Linked DNA regions of Danio rerio. The protein of the gene in region 1 purifies or fractionates together with the protein of each later gene. This does not show direct contact. Links are inferred from orthologs where the notes say so. Each region holds a gene or a part of one and is shown in the gene's direction. Other genes may lie near its edges.

Region 1 (6,410 bases):
AGCACATATTTTAGAAGATGTAACTGCTTTCTTTTTATGAGACTCTAAAATGGTATTCAAGTACAGTTCCAATTCTCGTTTAAGAAATACAAAGTTTGCTTTACATATAGTATACTTACATTTGTGTATATATATTAAAAAAAACCTTTCCAATAAATAACTTGAGCTGTATTAAAAAAAAAGTTTATTAAGAAATTGTTTTTCTTGAATGTAAAACCTCAAAACAACGTGTCTAAAGCTTAAAGAAAAAATCACTGCAAATATTTTGGTTAAAATTGAAAAATTCATTCATCACATCAGACCAGAAAGTTTTAACAAAGGGACAATCCCAAAATAAGTAAAGAACAGAAGTCTCATAGAAAGAACAAAAGACATCAAGGTCAGTTTTCTGTAGAAATTGTTTAACTGGTTAAAATCTGTGAATCATTTAAAAAAATTCTTTAATTTTATTTGTTAATAAATTAAATTGAAAGAATTCTGGGGGACTGACCATACAACCATTTAATATCGTCAAAAAGATTGTTCCAGTAAGAAAAAGAGGGATTTGAGTTGACAATATCTAAAAATAAAGATTTTATTTTTAAAGACCAATGTATTTTCAGGCATTAAAAGTGTACATCATATATATATTTTTCATTATTATTGCCCATTGGAATCTCATGTAATCTTTTATATATATATATATATATGTGTGTATATATATATATATATATATATGTATATATATATATATATATATATATATATATATATATATATGTATATATGTATATATATATATATATATATATATATATATATGTATATATATATGTATATATATATATGTATATATTCTGTATATGTATACATATATATTCTGTATATGTATAATTATTATTAATTTTTATTATGGAATTGTTTGGATTGTCATATGATTATTTAATATTTTATTGATCATGCCCTGTGTAAAATTGGTGTAAAGTTGTTGTTAATTCTTATAGAGTTTATTTGAGAATAAGGCTCTCAGTAAGCCCAAGAAAGATGAGAAGCGTCTGTCTGTGGAACGGATCTATCAGAAGAAGACCCAGCTGGAGCATATCCTGCTTCGACCTGACACCTACATAGGCTCAGTGGAACCTGTGACTCAGGTATGGAAGAGCCACACTTCATAATGATTGGGTTATTGCCAGATCTTTAATATAACATAATATAGTCCTAGAATTAAGTTTTGAATTATTTTTCTAATAGAAACAACTTCTCTTTAATGACTTGACTTTTTATTTTTTAGCAAATGTGGGTGTTTGATGAGGATACAGGGATGAATTGCAGAGACATCACATTTGTGCCAGGACTCTACAAGATTTTTGATGAGATTCTGGGTGAGTTTATGATGAATGTCAAGCAAGCTGATGCTAACCTTTTTTTAAAATGGATTAGTCTAGCCATTATTAAAACCAATAGTTAACTATTCTGGTTATCACATCGTTCACTTAACTTGTTGGGAAATCTGGCTTAGATTGTTTTTGGCAGGTGTAGTGTTTGAAAAGATGTACCTTCATTTAACAAGGGAACACTTTTTTGTAAAAGCTTTGTGTAAATTCAAAGTTATTTGTTTCTTTTTTTTATGAATGTATTCTTAAAACAAAATGCGCGCAAAACATTGCGTGCAAGGTTTAGCAATGACAGCATTTGTTGAATGCGTTTTTTATATCTGTATTGCTTGTGCCATTGTTTTCTTGAAGATGGGTATCCTTTTGTTGTTCTAAACTAAAATCATTTGTCTTCTAAACTTGAATATATTCTTACATAAACCTGACAGATTTGTATCCCTTTATTTACAATTCTACATAATGTGTTGTAAAATATGATTATTAATCATTATTATGAATGTGCAAGTGGTTTAATTCAAGTCTGGCAAATCAGTTTATATAACAAGCGGATATAATTTAGGTTATTAGCTTTCATTTACATATCCAACACATTAAATAAGCACATTAAATATGGTAAAAGTTGAAGCATGACACATTGCTGCTTAAATGTAACATCTGTTGTCCTGTTCATAGTGAATGCTGCTGATAACAAACAAAGGGACAAGACTATGAACTGCATCAAGGTCAACATTGACCCGTAAGTACTGCTCATTCTCTCACTGGTCAGTGGTGTAGGTTGAGAATGCGTAAGTGGTGCTCATTTGTGTGTCCGCAGAGAGAATAACACAATCAGTGTGTGGAACAATGGGAAGGGTATTCCTGTGGTTGAACACAAGGTGGAAAAAGTGTATGTTCCTGCTTTGATCTTTGGCCAACTCCTGACCTCCAGTAACTATGATGATGATGAGAAGAAGGTCACAGGTAAGATTGTGCTCAAAGTTAATGGATTCCTGACAGCACTTATGTGGTGTGACTTGAAGTTGATTTGTAATTGTGTGTTGTCATCAGGTGGGCGAAATGGATATGGTGCAAAGCTGTGTAACATCTTCAGCCTAAAGTTTACTGTGGAGACTGCTTGCAGAGAGTCAAAACGCTGTTTCAAACAGGTGAGTGTTGGATACTGTGTTTTAATTAGGGCAGCAGCTATCAATTAATCTACCACTATAACCCATAGAGTATTAGGATAAACTTTCTATTTTCTTTCAAGTTATTGTCACTGAAATGCAACAGCAGTAAAAATTGCATAAATGCCAATCGCAGATACACTCAAACTTTACTGCATTCACCTCAATTTGCAGCTATTTCACTATATTCTGAATTTAAACAATGGAAGTTTTCACCAGAAGTTACGTTAACAATATAACTACAGGATAAAATAAAAACAAGCTGCATATTGCCTAAAATAAATCTAGGCAAATCAAATAAATGTTGTACAGGCAGTAAGTGATGCGTTAGTTTTCTTTTTCGTTTTTTTTTTTAACGAAGCATTGATTACTACAAATTTAATTGATTATTTTTTAAATTGATTAAATTGAAAAAAAAAAATAAGTTTCAGCCCTAGTATTAATAGTTTGCTTTAACCAATACAGTTAATTAGCTAATTACTTGTGGCTAGGAAATAAGCTATTTTATTATTATTCTGTTGGGGCAGATCAAATTTTGTCAGGGCAATTAAAAGTCTACCACAGTTAAGCGCCGATTTGGGCCAAGCAATTTACCCACATGTCATGTAGAGAAATAATGCTGCAAATTAATTAATTAAACTTTATTTCCAAGCATCAGTGAGTACGTTTACATGGACACCAATAATTAGATTTTAATGTGATTAAGACATTACTCTGATTAAGAGTCTACAATGAGTAATCATGTACCATGATTTTTGATTAATCCGATTGAGGTCATTATCGAAATAAAGAGAAACCGGATTGAGACATGTGCAGTATGCCGATGTTTTTTGCATTATTGAAGTGCAGTACAGACATGTAAACACCTTAAACTATTGCCATGTAGGACTTTTTGCTGCATTTTGCGACAGGATAGTCCACATACACACATTGCTGTTTGTCTTCTTTGCACCTACCGAGTCAGTAAAGACCACAGACACCTGCATTGTGAAATTCGTTGTTTTTTTTTCTTTTTTCTTCCATTTAGCATGCGGTATGAACTTTCATTAAAACAACACTTTTCCAGCAGTTTATAGCTGCATTCAATATCTTGTTTATCACAGGGGATGCATGAGATGTTCCAAAGTAAAAGTAAAAGTGCTAAACTGCAGTTAGTCGACAAATTAAAAATGAAACACCCAAAATTACCTGTAACTCTGGAGGAAATTTGGATAGTGTGGTGACGCAATGACATTAATCAAATTATGCGTTATAACATGTAAAACGGGATCATGAAAGCAACATTCAAAAAGCAACTCATGTTAACGTCTTAATATTAGTATTGTCTTAATTAAATCTAAATTGATGTCCATGTAAACACAGTCAATGTTGTTGGTGGCATGCTTAATTTCCTGCAGAATTCTTGGCACAATTTTGTTAATTTGGCACAACCATCTCATTGTAAATAAATTCCATATTCTTTACTGCTTGATAAAAACAATGCTGCATAAAATGCAAGTCGGACCAAGTTTGTAACGCATACACACATCTGAGATCATTTTTTTGTGTTTGTTCAAAGTCTGTGTTAGAATTCACAAGTTGCAATGATTTACTTTCGATCAATGAATCATTGCAGACTTTTCTTCTGATACATTTTTGCTCATTTTTAATGGCATTATGGCCCCCTCAAACACTTTGTGTAGCTTCATTCTGTTTGGACAGTTTACAATTCAGTGACAAATCCATTTATGTAGTGATCAGTGATTGTGATACTTAAGTTGTATGACAGTCAGATGTGATTTTGCTAGTGGCGGTCATTTACCAGAATGTTTTAATCTCTTCTCCGTAGACATGGTTTGACAACATGGGACGAGCAGGTGAATCTAAGATTAAACCCTTCGACGGTGACGACTACACCTGCATCACATTCCAGCCAGACCTGGCCAAGTTCAAGATGCAAGCTTTAGATAAGGACACTGTTGCGCTACTGACTCGACGAGCATATGACATTGCTGGATCCACTAAAGGTGTCCGTGTCTTACTTAATGGAAAGAGGCTGCCAGTAAGTTATATTTATTGCATTTACCCTTAAACCCATGTTCATTGTATTTTTGTATATTTTTATTTTATTTTTTAATAAGTTGCAAGAGAAATGGGATGCATTGGAAAATAATAAATTGTAGGAATATCCAACCTGAAATCTCAAACTGAATTTTAAAGTCTAGATTTGATCAAGTGATTTTTACCCGATGTTGTTGGACACCAGATTAAATCTTTTTGCTTAAAGATGAAGACCCCACTCAATGTTGTACTGCACAACTCCCCGTGCTGTAAGATACATTTTACTGCACTGTCCTGCTTTTAATGACTCCAGAAGACTATTTTTATGAAATGATCTCTCTCAAGGACATTTTTAACAAAGTGACACCAGGAAAATTTTTGAATTCTTATGATGAATTAACACTAAAAATCTTATTTGGGTTATGTACTTATTTGTTTGTTGTTTTTATTTGTATATTTATTATTGAAATAATCTTGCCATGAAAATGGCTTTGATTGCTGACATGGCTGTAAATAAATACATTACATTTTAAATTTATGTTTAAATTCTTTTTGTCTTTCAGATTAATAATTTCCGCACCTATGTGGACTTGTATGTGAAGGATAAGGTGGATGAAACTGGTTCTCCCCTGACAGTAGTTCACGAGATGGTGAATGAGCGCTGGGAAGTGTGTCTTACCCTTAGTGAAAAAGGGTTCCAGCAAGTCAGCTTTGTTAACAGCATCGCCACAACTAAGGTAATCATAGTGTCTGTGGGGTCTTAAAAAGTATTAAAAGTTGATCAATAATGAGAAAATTAAGGCTTTTAAAAGGTGTTAAAGTCTTAATCAGGTTTTAATGAGGTCTTAAATTTTGTTCAAGCGTTGTCTAAAGTGTTTAACTCCAAAAAAGCATAAATGTATTCATTTTCCTTGATCCTTGCAATTGGTTTGAGCCAAGGCACGTTTAGCCAAGCTCCTCCATTCGGGTGACGTCATGTAATTTGCGGCAAACATGGAAAGGTGACGTGACACTTTCCACATATAGCGAACCCATAGAGTGGAACAGATAGCAAAATGGGAAAATGTAAGTTTGAGTACTTCTGATTTGAGAAAGATGGGTTTAAACAGTGGCTGAAGCCTGTCGCCAACAAAACAATCACGTTTGTTTCTTCCAGGCTTCTCTGAGTTTTGTTACACGGTTGTGCTTCATTGATTTATTGAACTACAACTGTTTATTAATATCTGTTTATTAAGGTCAAAGTTTAATATGGATTAGGACTTAGTGGCAATGAAGTCTTAATATATTCTAAGAAGGTCTTTAAAAAGTCTTAAAAAGGTATTAAAATTAACTTAAGGATTGCTGCATATACCCTGGTAATGTATTCAGATGAATAAACAGCCTTTTCAAAACTGTTCAAAAATGTTTTTTTAATAAATCTTCAATCAAACAGATGCGTCACATATTCTAAACCAGATCTATTGATTATTTAATGTCTACAAAATATAATGTAGTGTGTAAAGTTTTTTTGAATTCTTTTATTTGCTAGCAGTGGTTGGAAGGGAGGGATTTTAGCGTATCTTGCCTAAGCTGTCAATCATCTGACAAGAAATGCCATTATAAAGTGAAAGCAAATGTGTAGAATATGTATAAGATAATGTAAGTTGTATAAAGTTAGCTTTTTTTTGTAGATTTGGTGACTTTAATTTAAAAATGTATTAACATAAATAATAATTGGGTAAGCTAAAAGTGTCTGTAGTGTATATGTGTGAATGAGGGTATGAGTGTTTCCCAACGATGGGTTGCAGCTGGAAGGGCATTCACTGCGTAAAAACATGCTGGATAAGTTAGTGGT
Region 2 (6,410 bases), on another chromosome or scaffold:
GTGAGCCCTTAATGTGACTGAAAATGATGCAACTGTAAGTTGAGTTTCACTATAATAAGAGACCCCTTAAATGGGTCATAACTTAAGTTAGGTAAACAGTCGACCCAAAACACAAGCCACTCAAATGTCAAAAGCAATGGTTGTCCTAACAGTGAGAATGACTCCTCTTCAAGTGCTTCCATGTCTTTGATTTTTTTTTTAATTGACATTTATAGCAGGGAAAAATGGATGATTTTAAAAACGTATTGTTTTGCTTTGTGTTCCGATGTCAGCCATGATGAAGCTATTTCAGTTGATGGATGTATGTTAACATAACCATTTCATTTTCGGTACATTGTGGTCCTTTAGCAATTTGTTGAAATTGTCAGGTTCATAACACATCCTCACAAAATATGAAAATCCCAGTGTATTTATGTTTGGCCAGTAGTTTAACATGTTGTAGAACAAATATTCTGCTACTGTTGTTATGATTCACATAATGAGCATGTCTTTTTGTATACTTTTCTAAATGCTTGTGGTTTAACACCACCCAAAATCTTGAAGTCATGTAAAAGAGCAACAGTGTTACAACAAAAAAATCTTTAAATGTTGCGGAAATCACCCTTATGCTGAAGGGTTTGGAGAATTACTGTATGTTTTCATTCTTAAGAGAAATCAAAGTGTTTCTTTATGATAAGATCCCTTTTAGGATCCACAGAATGGATGTAATCGCATAAATAGAAACATGAATTTATCTTGAGCCAATTTAAAAGGCTTCTCTTATTTGGTCATGTGAGTGAGAAAATGAATAATGGTTTTCATCCTTCACACAGCCCTCACATTAAATCTGAACCTGACAGCGATGACTTCTATCACTCTCCTAAACTAGAGAAGTCTCTGAAGAGAGAGCGGGATGATGACGAGTAAGTGACATTGTGTTTGCAGGACATCTTGAACTCACTTGTGACATTAAAACAAACTTGCAATCCTCTGTAGTCACGAAAGCTCCCTGTTCCTCTAATCTTTGTTTAAAATGGTAACCATTAGAGTGAATGAGACAGTGATTGTCTGGTATTTGAACGGTGTGTGTGTGGTTGCAAGGCATTTTGACATTTTGTTTTGTTTCATTCAGTGGTGATTACAAGCCCAAGAAAATTAAAACTGAGGATGACAGAAGTGAAAAGAAAGCAAAGAAACGGAAACAGGAGGAAGAGGTAAACTAATGAAGTTACTGGCTTATCTCTTTAGATTACACTTTCCAAGGTGTCAGTAATTTTGAATCTTTTGATTTGCCATAGGACATAAAGCCCAAAAAGAAAACAAAAGACAAGAAAGGAGAAGTTGCCACAGATGGCAAGAAAAAGGCAAAAAAGGAGCCAGAAGAGAAGTGGAAATGGTTAGTCTCACATCCTCTGATGGTCAAGTAATTGTAGGCTGACTCCTTGTCTTGAGTCTGTTTTGATTTTATTCGGGGATATGGTGCTGATCACAAATGTCCTTTTTCCGGCACTTTGCAGATCCATTTTGGTTGCCTGCATTGGGATGTTGGTTTACCTCCTTTCCTCTTTGTGCTTTTTTATACCATTTAGGTGGGAGGAAGAAAGGTACACAGATGGAGTGAAATGGAAGTTTCTGGAGCACAAAGGACCTGTCTTTGCACCACCATATGAGCCTTTGCCCAGCAATGTCAAGTTTTATTATGACGGTATGTCCTTCAATAGTTCTCTTGAAGTGCAAGAAGGGGGTTTGCCATCTGTCAAAACTGTTAAAGAAGCGGGAGTCGGACTGTGAGATCTTCAAATGTTTGAAACCACTCCTTTTTTCTCTTTAAATGAACAAACTAAAATTTTATATTGTCCATCTTTTTTAATTGGCATTGCATGAGGAGTATTTAGATATTGTGGATTTAGTAACTTTTGTTAAGATAGATTCTGCTCTATTGCTGTTGTTTTTAATCTGGTTTTTATGGGTTTTATGTTCTGTCACCAGGGAAGCATATGAAACTCAGCCCAAATGCAGAGGAGGTGGCCACCTTCTTCTCAAAAATGTTGGACCACGAGTACACCACTAAAGACATCTTTCGTAAAAACTTCTTTAAAGATTGGAGGAAGGTAACGTTGTTTGGAAAGTGTTTCTTGCTATTACAAAGGCACTTTTTTATTTATTTATTTATTTTTTTATTAGATTAATCCTGCATGGTTTTCTCATTTTAGGAAATGACGTCTGAAGAGAAATCCAAAATCACTGATCTAAATAAGTGTGACTTCTCTAATATGAGTGAATATTTCAAAGCTCAATCTGAAGCCAGGAAGGCAATGACTAAAGAAGAAAAACTGGTGAGATTGGAGATCTAAATTAAGAAATCATTCTGCTGGTATAATATTTAAACCACAAATGTTTTTTTTTCTTGATCAGAAAATCAAAGAAGAGAACGAACGCATTCTGCAGGAGTATGGCTTCTGTATTATGGACAATCACAAAGAGCGCATTGCCAACTTTCGAATTGAGCCTCCAGGCTTGTTCCGTGGAAGAGGTGACCATCCTAAAATGGGCATGCTGAAGCGTCGTATCCGACCCGAAGACATTATCATTAACTGCAGCAAGTAAGCAGCATTCATTAGAGCCCAAAACCACCCCCTTGGTGGAAAAAAAAATTCTTATCAGTTTTTTTTTTGTCTTTTAGGGACTCAAAACATCCTACACCGCCTCCCGGGACAAAGTGGAAGGAGGTACGTCATGACAACAAGGTGACATGGCTGGTGTCCTGGACCGAAAACATCCAAGGCTCCATCAAATACATCATGCTGAACCCCAGTTCGAGGATCAAGGTGAACTAGCACTATCCCAATACAGTTAGTTGTGTACTGATTTAAACCAATGATTTTTCTCATGTTAAGATTATTTAATGTAGCATAATAATTTTTTTTATGCTGTTTCAGAAATCCTCATCTGTTTCTATCTATTAATTTACTTTGGAAAATCTGATATTGTCTAGTTATATACCTTATAGTTTTGAATAAGATTTTAGAGAAAATCTTAATTTTCTGAATTGGTTTTCAATGTTTTGCTGCATGTTTGTGGAAACCATTATTTCAGCAATTATTTGAAATGCATGTGTTTGTCAATAAATTAGTCTTTGCTAGGTGTAGATATATATTTTTTTGGATTCATAAATTAAATCTTCATTTATTCTTCTTAATGCCTTAATGAGAAAATGATCAGTGTTGGCTAGACCTTTAATATCAGTGCAAACCTCATTGTTTTCTTACAGGGAGAGAAGGATTGGCAGAAATATGAAACAGCCCGTCGGTTAAAGAAATGTGTGGATCGGATCCGTTCGCAGTACCGCGATGACTGGAAATCAAAAGAAATGAAGATCAGACAGCGTGCTGTTGCTCTTTACTTCATTGACAAGGTTTGCATGCCTCAATGTAATATCCTTCATGTCAGGCTCATGACCCTGAAAGCATGTGATGAATAGGTTAATTCAGAATTCCTCTTTAAAAGCACTTAAAGCGTTTGGTTCAGTTACTAACATTTCAATGGGTGTACGTTTGCTGTGAAATTTTTGAGCTAAAGCAGAAGCTGAAAAGCAGAACAGTGTTATGAATCTCTGTATTTCTCTGGTGTAGCTGGCTTTGAGAGCAGGTAATGAAAAGGAGGAAGGAGAGACTGCTGACACAGTGGGCTGCTGCTCACTTCGAGTGGAGCATCTCACTCTGCATCCAGAGATGGACGGCCAGGAGTTTGTGGTGGAGTTTGACTTTCTTGGTAAAGACTCCATTAGATACTACAACAAGGTCCCTGTAGAGAAGAGGGTAAGTATTTGATTTTATCTTATTCTTGTATTACATTTGCTCTGTTTCAATATCTAGCGAGTTGCCTACAGGGGAAATATTGTAGGGTATAAAAAAATACACATGTGAAGGAGGTTTGTTTAATTTAAGGCTGTGGATCAAAAATAAAACCTTGTGCCAAATTAATCTACAACAGTGATTTTTTTCATACAAACATTGGTTCATATATTTGATGCCAGTACTTAAAAATTTACACTGAATTATAGTGCATTTAATGAATTAAACCAGTATTATTTAATAAAATTATGTTAAGCTGTTTTTTCTTATTTTCTTATGCATTTAAAATGTAAAATCATCTTTATTTGTTTTGAAATGATTAAACATTCAATTGATTCAATTTTAAGCTGATTAGTAACGTAAACCTCTATTTTACAATTATTTTTAAGAATTGCAAAAAAGTTCAGTCTATCTGAGATGGTGTATGAGGCAGAGTAAATGTTGAATTATAAACGCTTGATTCAATATTGAAAAGATTACCCAGAGGTCCGCTGTGCTCTTGTGTGGTGCGCAGATTGCTGATGTAGAGCGTTCCAAATCAGTCACTTACGAGGTTCCTTTTCAGTTAAGATGCTGCCTGAGGCATCTCATTAGGTTTTGGAACAGAGCTAATATATCCCAAACTCTGCCGCCCGTGTCCCTAAACCAAAAAGTCCATTCGCCAGCAACTTCACAGGTTACTAATCGCATGCAATAAAGTCCTAATTACAGTTTTTAAAGCTTGTCACGGTCTAGCACCACGATACTCCGCTGAATTGATCCATTGTTATGCTGTTGCGCACACACTTAAGACCTTCGTCACCCAGATATTAGCTTTTTAGTAAGTTTTGATTGTCCTACACGGGCTGTAAATGCTTCTAGGTGTACCAAGATGTTGTGATCTCCCTCAGGTCTGCGTGATGTTCTGTCTCTGATTGCACAACACGTTTACTTGCATCTCCATGTTCATTGCGTCTTGTTTGTCAGTCATCAATTTATGCCAGGTTTTGCTGTTTGCAATCAATTTTTGTGTGTGTTTGGGGTTGTGGTCTTTTGTGCTCTTCAACTGTCCTTGAGTTTGTGAAAGGCTCTGCGCGAATCAAATGTTCACCAGTTTACTGTGCCCTAGTACAAATTGAAATCTTCTCATCTGAGGGCTATTGATTAGCATGGTCGTGTGTTCTGCTTCTGCCTTTTGTGTAAAATCCCTTTTAAATGTTACAGGTTTTCAAAAATCTCCAGCTTTTCATGGAGGATAAGGAGCCAGAGGATGACCTCTTTGACCGTCTCAATGTAAGCAGTCACTTTCACCAGTCTGTTATTTATGGCATGCAGAGGAGAATCTCAATTCTGAATGCATCTCATTAATTGTAAACCATCTTGCAGACCTCCATTTTAAACAAGCATCTTCAGGAGTTGATGGACGGCCTTACGGCTAAAGTGTTCCGTACTTACAACGCCTCCATCACACTACAGCAGCAGCTGAACGAACTCACTAACTGTAAGTCCTGCACGCACCAGATTGAGCAGAGCTGCTGGAAACGCATCATATGTGACGCTTGTGTGTTTGTTTAGCTGAAGATAATGTTCCTGCGAAGATCCTCTCCTACAATCGGGCCAACCGAGCGGTAGCCATCCTGTGTAACCACCAGAGGGCACCACCAAAGACCTTTGAAAAGTCCATGCAGAATCTTCAGACCAAGGTATGAGACGTTGGCGAACTTGTCCTTATTGTTGTCTTCATGCTGGTATTTCTTTGTTAGCGCAGGGTCTGTTGGACCATCTAAATGTTTGCCTTTCCCGCATTCACTTGTTCATTAAAACCAGATTGACGCAAAGAAGGAGCAGCTTGTTGAAGCTAAAAGAGAGCTGAAAGGTGCCAAGGCTGACGCCAAAGTACGCAAAGATGAGAAATTCAAGAAGTGAGTGTCAAAATATTTGCTTGAAGGGCGCCCAACTGAATTTGGCCTCTTTGTCGCTCATTGTGCATTCGTATGTGATTGTATTCTGCTTTAATGTTGATTCTTTTGGCAACGCAGAGCTGTGGAGGCCAAGAAGAAAGCGCTTCAGAGGGTGGAGGAGCAGCTGATGAAGCTGGAGGTTCAGGCCACCGACCGCGAGGAGAACAAACAGATCGCTCTGGGGACCTCCAAACTCAACTACCTGGATCCACGCATCTCTGTAGCCTGGTGAGATTACCACCGTACCGTACACATCCATTTGTTAAAAAAAAAAAAATCTGATTTACATGTTGTGACGTGAAAACAGTTTCAGCAGATGGCTTGAGTAGCTCTAGTAAGAATTCAGGTAGAGATATTTAACACTCAAATGTAAAATAGCACTGTGTAGTACTGAATTAGGCATTGGCTAGTATAAGATTCTGACGGTATGATAAAAATATGAATGTTTCACAGTATTGTGATTACTGCTCTAAAATAAATATATTTTTTTAACTGTCTGGGTAAAAAACTTTTCCCCCCTTTAGTACACACAATATTTTATTTTGAGAAACGGTGATTATATTTTTGAACCGTAAACTTGTCGGGCTAAACAGTTCAAATCAATCATTGACTTCTGCTGTCTTCAGTTTCAAAAACA
Region 3 (6,410 bases), on another chromosome or scaffold:
GTGAAAATTTCATTGCTCTGTTTTAACAAACAGGTTTGTTACTAGAATGGTCAGGCAGGCAACAGTCAACAGGGTAAAACAGATACATACAGAGAATCCAGAGTCGTGGTCATAGAACAGGCGAATGGTCGGAACAAGCAGCAAAGAATCAAAACAAAGAGACAAAGGGTTAAAACACAGCTAGGCTAAACAGGGAGAAAACACGTCGTAATGCTCACAGATAAACAAGACTCAAAAAAGTGTGTGTGTGTGTGTGTGTGTGTGTGTGTAATCAACAGAGAACTGGAACAGGTGTGTGTGAGGTGCATGACAGGATTCGTTGGTCTAGATCGCTGGTGATTGTGACAGTAGTGACCTTAAACACTGTTTTTTAGTATGTTTGTCTTCCAAAAGTATGGAGCAAATAATATGGAAAAACAATCTGAATTTAAATTGTGCAAATTTGAATCACAATAGCAATTGTAATTTAATAAAATTTAATATTAAATGCTATTAAACTGTTTGAATTTGAATTTCTTAACTTGAATATTGAACATCTGAAATTTAAGACAACTGAATTTTTTCAGATTTCTATTGACGTATTTTCAAACTTCAGATTTTTTCGTTCTAAATTTATAGATTGCAGATATTGAGCTTGTGAAAATACAGTTTTGAGTTTTCAAGATGAAGAAATTCAGAGCATCGAATTCAATATTTTAAATTTTAAAACCAGAAAATCAGATTGTGAAATTCAGATTTAGCAAAAAGTAGGTCAGGGGTCATCAACAGTGAAGAAAATTCAGATTGTTTTGGCATATTATTCGCTCCATATCAAAGAACCTTTCGATGAACATATCTTTAAAGCTTTTTAATAATCAAAAGCAAAATAACACTATAAAAATAGGTTTCTTGTATGTTATGTATGGTGATGTGAATCGGTAATTGTAATTAAAATGTTTGATTTTTTTAACTAATTATAAAAATGTAATAAATACAAAAATACATATTATTAAACATGATGTAGCTAATTCAAGGTAAATACATAATGTTGTAGTGTAAATGTTGTAAATACTCAGGCTGTTGGAGCACTAAGAGCAGGACATACAAGATGTCTTACAAGATGTTCTCGCCTCGCCTTTTCGCCAGCTGACTTTATTGTAAGACAAAATAAGCAATGCATTCTGTGTAGCATTTTACTTTCAATTGTAATTACAATTTGCTTTAGATTTTTTTCAATTAATTATAAAAATGTAATAAGTCCATAAAATATATATTATTGTGATACTATTGCACAGTATATAACAGTAATATTATTTTTATAATAATACAATTAATATAATTTTAATAAATATACATTGTGTAAATAAACGTAATTACATTATTAATAACAACAGTGCCATTACAAAGCTTAGATTTATAGTTGTTGTTTTTTCCTTGCTTTCAAAAATGTTTTCATTTTAGACCCTGCTTAATGGGACAGTGGATATATCGGCTCATTTATTCATTTTCTTTTTTGACTTGGTCCTTTTATTAATCTGGGGTCGCCACAGTGGAATGAACCACCAACTTATCCAGCATATGTTTTATGCGGTGGATGCCCTTCCACCTGCAACCCAACATTGGGAAACACCCATACACTCTTATTCACACCCATACACTATGGCCAATTTAGCTTATTCATTTCACCTGTACCGCATGTCTTTGGAGTCTGGACTGTGGGGGAAACCAGAGTACCCCGGAAGAAACCCATGTGAACATGCAAACTCCACACAGAAATTCCAACTGACCCAGTCGTTTGTCGAACCAGTGATTTTCTTGCTGTGAGGCGACAGCACTACCCACTGCGCCACCTATTTATTCATTATTTATTTATTCATTATAATGCAACAAATAGTAAAAGAGGCTTACAGTATCAAGCTCTATGCAAGTAAAAATTTATTTCTATATTTCTATATATATATTTATATGTATGTATGTGTGTGTGTGTGTGTGTCAATTATAATAGTAATGATACATTTTTAAAGCATAGTTTGGTACATTTTTAAGTTGTTGACCTGTTGACCACAATATATAATGAAATACTTTATATAGAAACAGTAAAGGCTGCTCTCTGTCCCTCTGTAACTCTGTCAGGGTTGCTAAAGCAGAAAAATTTATATACTGTCGTCATTTGGCACAGGTCTACTTCCTTCTGATACAGCCAAGCACTGAACGTTACCCCAGGGCCGAACAATGAAACACTGTTAATAACTAACCATGTTCAAGCTTTGTATTTTATTAAACTCAGCTTAAAAAATCGGCCTCATCTATGTGTTAAACTGCTCTCCTGTGTATTTTCAGGGCCGTTGCTTTCCTTTGACGTGAATGACAGCCCTACATTTGAGATTCCTCTCTCCAGTGTATCCCAGTGTACGACGGGTAAGAATGAGGTGACAGTGGAGTTTCATCAGAATGATGACACAGAGGTGTCTCTCATGGAGGTGCGCTTCTACGTCCCACCCACCACAGGGGACGAGGGTTCAGACCCGGTAGAGGTAAGAGTGTGCATGTTCATCCCAGTCTAACACTGACCAGCAGATGGCGCAGGTTACCAAGAGATCAATTCCCCTAAAGCAGGAGCCTTTTTTAGTCTTAAAATTAGAGATGCCCAAATATAACCATCACCATTGGGTCCTTGTATGAAGATTTCATTTATAAAGATGCAAGTAATATTTGCGTACATTTAGTGAAATATTATTTGGAAAATATAATTTTTACTCAATATACCGTTAGACGGATAAAAAATTAAACAATATATAAAATGACAAAATAAAAACATGAAAAATAAATAAATACTACATTTTTAATTATAACTAAGAATTAAAGTTGAAGTCAGATTAGCCCCCCTTTGAATTAGTTTTTCTTCTTTTTTACATATTTCCTAAATGATGTTTAACAGAGCAAAGAAATTTTCACAGTATGTCTGATAATATTATTTATTCTGGATAAAGTCTTATTAGTATTATTTTGCCTACAATAAAAGCAGTTTTTAATTTTTTAAAGACCATTTCAGGGACAAAATTATTAGCTCCTTTAAGCAATTTTTTTCCCAATAGTCAACAGAACAAACCATCGTTATACAATAACTTGCCTAATTACCCTAACCTGTCTAGTTAACCTAATTAACCTAGTCGAGCGTTTAAATGTCACTTTAAGCTGAATAGAAGTGTCTTGAAAAATATCTAGTAAAATATTATTTACTGTCATCATGGCAAAGATAAAATAAATCAGTTATTAGAAATGAGTTATTAAAACTATTATGACTAGAAATGTGTTGAAAAAAAATCTTCTCTCCGTTAAACAGAAGTTGGGGGGGGAAAAAACAAGCTGTCTAATAATTCAGGGGGGCAAAAAATTCTGACTTCAACTGTAATACAATACATATCAACTGAGTTGTATTTATTTATTTTAATTAGTTCATTATATCTTTTTTTTTTATTTTGTTTATTCATTTATTGGCTCTATCCCAACTTAAATGGCCATGTCTAATTAAGGTATGTTCTAAAACTTGTAGTTAAAAATAAAGTTGCAGTTACATAAAAGTACACAGCAGGTGATACTGAAATTCATTTCTGTGTCACAAATCAATCAGTTTCTGTCAAAGCATTTAGTACGTCTATTACAAAACAGACACTAAATATGGAGTCCTGATTGTCAAATGCATGTTTATGTCCTTTTTCAAGATTAAATAAATTTTAAGATTATAAAATAGTCTAGTGCATTTTGTAATATGAAGATTGACACCTACTGGGGGGTTGGTTGGGACAATCTAAAAGCTTTAAATGTGGCATATACAAAAGTAATGATTTCATAAAGGATATTTATTTTTAAAGCTTTTGAATGATCATTAAAATATTGTCACTTTAGAGTTATAAGATTCTATCTGACATTTTTGTCAAAATTGAGTTATTCACATATTCTTATTAAATGACAACTTATTTACATTATGGAATGTTTTTTTAGTTGCTTACATTTGAAGAGGTTTTATTTACAAAACTACAAAGTCGAACTCTGTCTTGGCTTTATAAGTTTTTTTCTGTGAGCCATTCTTATGCACCCACGAGGACTAATCAGGAACAGCTTTCTTTGTCATTTCGCCAGATTGCTCTGTCGACAGCTGGAAAGACCAGAAGGAAACACAATACAAGTCGACTAAATTATGCCGCACCTCACAAAATTAAAAAGAAACCTGAAACTGAAAAGATGTGTGTAAATGTGATGATTTAGAAGCAGGTTCAATTTTACATTGTTGAAAAAGAAACAGTTATTTAAAAAATGTAATATATTAAATGTGAAATATTTTTATTTGTGTATATATTGTCAGTGAAACATTTTTCAGTGTTTATTAAAACTCATTCACTCATTGTCTGCGTTTTTTTAGAGTCTTTAAATTTAATCTTAAACCTCGAAGGGCAAATATTAGATAATTTAATTAATGCGGCATATAATTCAATAAATATAATTCAATTATTTTTATAAAGCATATATTCAATAAATATTACCATATTAATTACATTTACTCTTAAAAATGCTAGGGGTATTTCAGCCTTATGCTGGGTGTAATATGGACTAAACCAACTGCAGAGTTAATTTTTTAATTAAATAAATAAAGACTAAATTAAACCCAATGCTTGAGTTAGTCCATATTTTACCCAGTTTGGGTGTAAATAACCTAGCAATTCTTAGTGTACAATTAACAGCTGCACTGGACAAAATATTTAGCACAGCCTTGTATGGTTCATTTGAACAAGAAACAAGTTTCATCCTAAAACATTAAATAAAGTCATAGAAAGCAAAAATATAACAACAACTTAATAAAACATACCAGTTTTTATTTTTTAAATTAATAAGCAGACTGATCGTATTTTTGAAAAGCAATGCTTCAATTATTGATCTGCTAGATAGAACCTTATAATTCTAAGCAGAATAAGACTTTTTAGAATTACAAGGTTCTGCATCTGCATTCACCCAGTTTTTTTTTTAAGACAATTTTGATATTTTACATTTAGAGTACATTTAGGCTCTCTGTCATGTTAATGTAAGAAAGAGAACTGTTACATGCATATTGTTTCCTATATGAAATGCGAAAACTTCGAAGCTCAATATCTCAAAATCATTAGAACGCAGATAGAATCTTACAATTCCAAGGTGACGAAATGTTATAAGGCAGGGGTCACCAATCTCGTTCCTGGAGGTCCGGTGCCCTGCAGGGTTTAGCTCCAACTTGCCTCTACACACCTGCCTAGGTGTTTCAAGTATACCTAATAAGACCTTGATTAGCTTGTTCAGGTGTGTTTGATTAGGGTCGGAGCTAAAATCTGTAGGACACCGGCCCTTCAGGAACAAGTTTGGTGATGCCTGTTATAAGAGAAAAGACTTCAAGCAATGGGACACGTCTAAACATTTGCGTAAAACCTCTGTCCCTCTTCTTGTAGTCCTACTGTACAATATTTATATCTGTAAATCCCGCTTAATCTGAGAAGTAATGAAAACCGTTATGTTTCAGGCATTTGCTCAGAATGTGCTGTCGAAGGCAGATGTCATCCAGGCCACAGGAGATGCTGTTTGTATCTTCAGAGAGCTGCAGTGCCTCACGCCTAGGGGCAGGTACATACATACACACATCTGGATACTCTCATCATACTTTTTGGTTGTTTATTTAACATAAAAATGTCAAAGGTGTGAACTGGCATTGTGTGATTTGATTTTTCTTGCTCTCTCTTTAGGTACGATATCCGTATTTATCCAACATTCCTTCATCTACACGGTAAGACATTTGACTACAAGATCCCGTACACCACAGTGCTCCGCCTCTTCCTGTTGCCTCATAAAGACCAGCGGCAAATGTTCTTCGTGGTGAGTGGAGGATCATGGTCTATAAAGCAATCTTTTATTTGGATCTGGAACCATTAATATTACCTTTACTTAACCTTTGATACATTAAAAAAATCTTCTTAATTTATATTATTTTTTATTATATTTCTTTCATAATTTATATTTCTTTCATTCTTTCAAAGATAGCCCTTTTTATTATTGCGGTTGTGATTATTATTGCACAACTCCCTGCATTATGGCTATTACATGTATTTTTTATGCTCACTGTGATATGCTAATTGTCATATCATATTTTTTTGTGTTCACAAATTTAAAACTATACAAATTTGATGGATCTGGATCCATTTTTTCTAGCTAGTATTAAACAGCTTTATCATAGCATTCATTTATTTTTGTTGTGTGTTGTCAATATATATAGTAAGACAGGGTGGTAACTACTTGAAGAGGTGTTCATAAGACTGTCATGACACCCTAATTGTGCGATCACCCCAAAAGCGGTGAGAGCGTCTAAGGTCACTCTGGCTGCCCTAGCGACAACGCTGTCTGCCTTCAGCTCT

The links. Proteins that work in one complex are often made in the same cells at the same time.
Region 2: the proteins of top2a (region 1) and top1a purify together in Homo sapiens (co-immunoprecipitation; 4 studies listed by BioGRID and IntAct, with this or other methods). This does not show direct contact. The link is inferred for Danio rerio from reciprocal best matches to the Homo sapiens genes TOP2A and TOP1.
Region 3: the proteins of top2a (region 1) and ssrp1b fractionate together in Homo sapiens (co-fractionation; 3 studies listed by BioGRID and IntAct, with this or other methods). This does not show direct contact. The link is inferred for Danio rerio from reciprocal best matches to the Homo sapiens genes TOP2A and SSRP1.

What each region holds. Positions count from the first base shown.
Region 1 is NC_133187.1:11,261,369-11,267,778, forward strand, and holds part of top2a (DNA topoisomerase 2-alpha), read left to right. Parts: intron 1-983; coding exon 984-1,130; intron 1,131-1,270; coding exon 1,271-1,361; intron 1,362-2,045; coding exon 2,046-2,109; intron 2,110-2,187; coding exon 2,188-2,333; intron 2,334-2,420; coding exon 2,421-2,518; intron 2,519-4,364; coding exon 4,365-4,577; intron 4,578-5,139; coding exon 5,140-5,313; intron 5,314-6,410. UniProt on the Homo sapiens protein: Key decatenating enzyme that alters DNA topology by binding to two double-stranded DNA molecules, generating a double-stranded break in one of the strands, passing the intact strand through the broken strand, and religating the broken strand.
Region 2 is NC_133186.1:27,373,599-27,380,008, forward strand, and holds part of top1a (DNA topoisomerase I, like), read left to right. Parts: intron 1-812; coding exon 813-902; intron 903-1,111; coding exon 1,112-1,193; intron 1,194-1,277; coding exon 1,278-1,375; intron 1,376-1,568; coding exon 1,569-1,684; intron 1,685-1,968; coding exon 1,969-2,090; intron 2,091-2,192; coding exon 2,193-2,315; intron 2,316-2,394; coding exon 2,395-2,582; intron 2,583-2,662; coding exon 2,663-2,807; intron 2,808-3,250; coding exon 3,251-3,394; intron 3,395-3,611; coding exon 3,612-3,797; intron 3,798-5,036; coding exon 5,037-5,105; intron 5,106-5,198; coding exon 5,199-5,313; intron 5,314-5,387; coding exon 5,388-5,515; intron 5,516-5,639; coding exon 5,640-5,734; intron 5,735-5,851; coding exon 5,852-6,001; intron 6,002-6,410. UniProt on the Homo sapiens protein: Releases the supercoiling and torsional tension of DNA introduced during the DNA replication and transcription by transiently cleaving and rejoining one strand of the DNA duplex.
Region 3 is NC_133176.1:47,972,220-47,978,629, forward strand, and holds part of ssrp1b (FACT complex subunit SSRP1), read left to right. Parts: intron 1-2,319; coding exon 2,320-2,513; intron 2,514-5,524; coding exon 5,525-5,625; intron 5,626-5,744; coding exon 5,745-5,874; intron 5,875-6,410. UniProt on the Homo sapiens protein: Component of the FACT complex, a general chromatin factor that acts to reorganize nucleosomes. The FACT complex is involved in multiple processes that require DNA as a template such as mRNA elongation, DNA replication and DNA repair.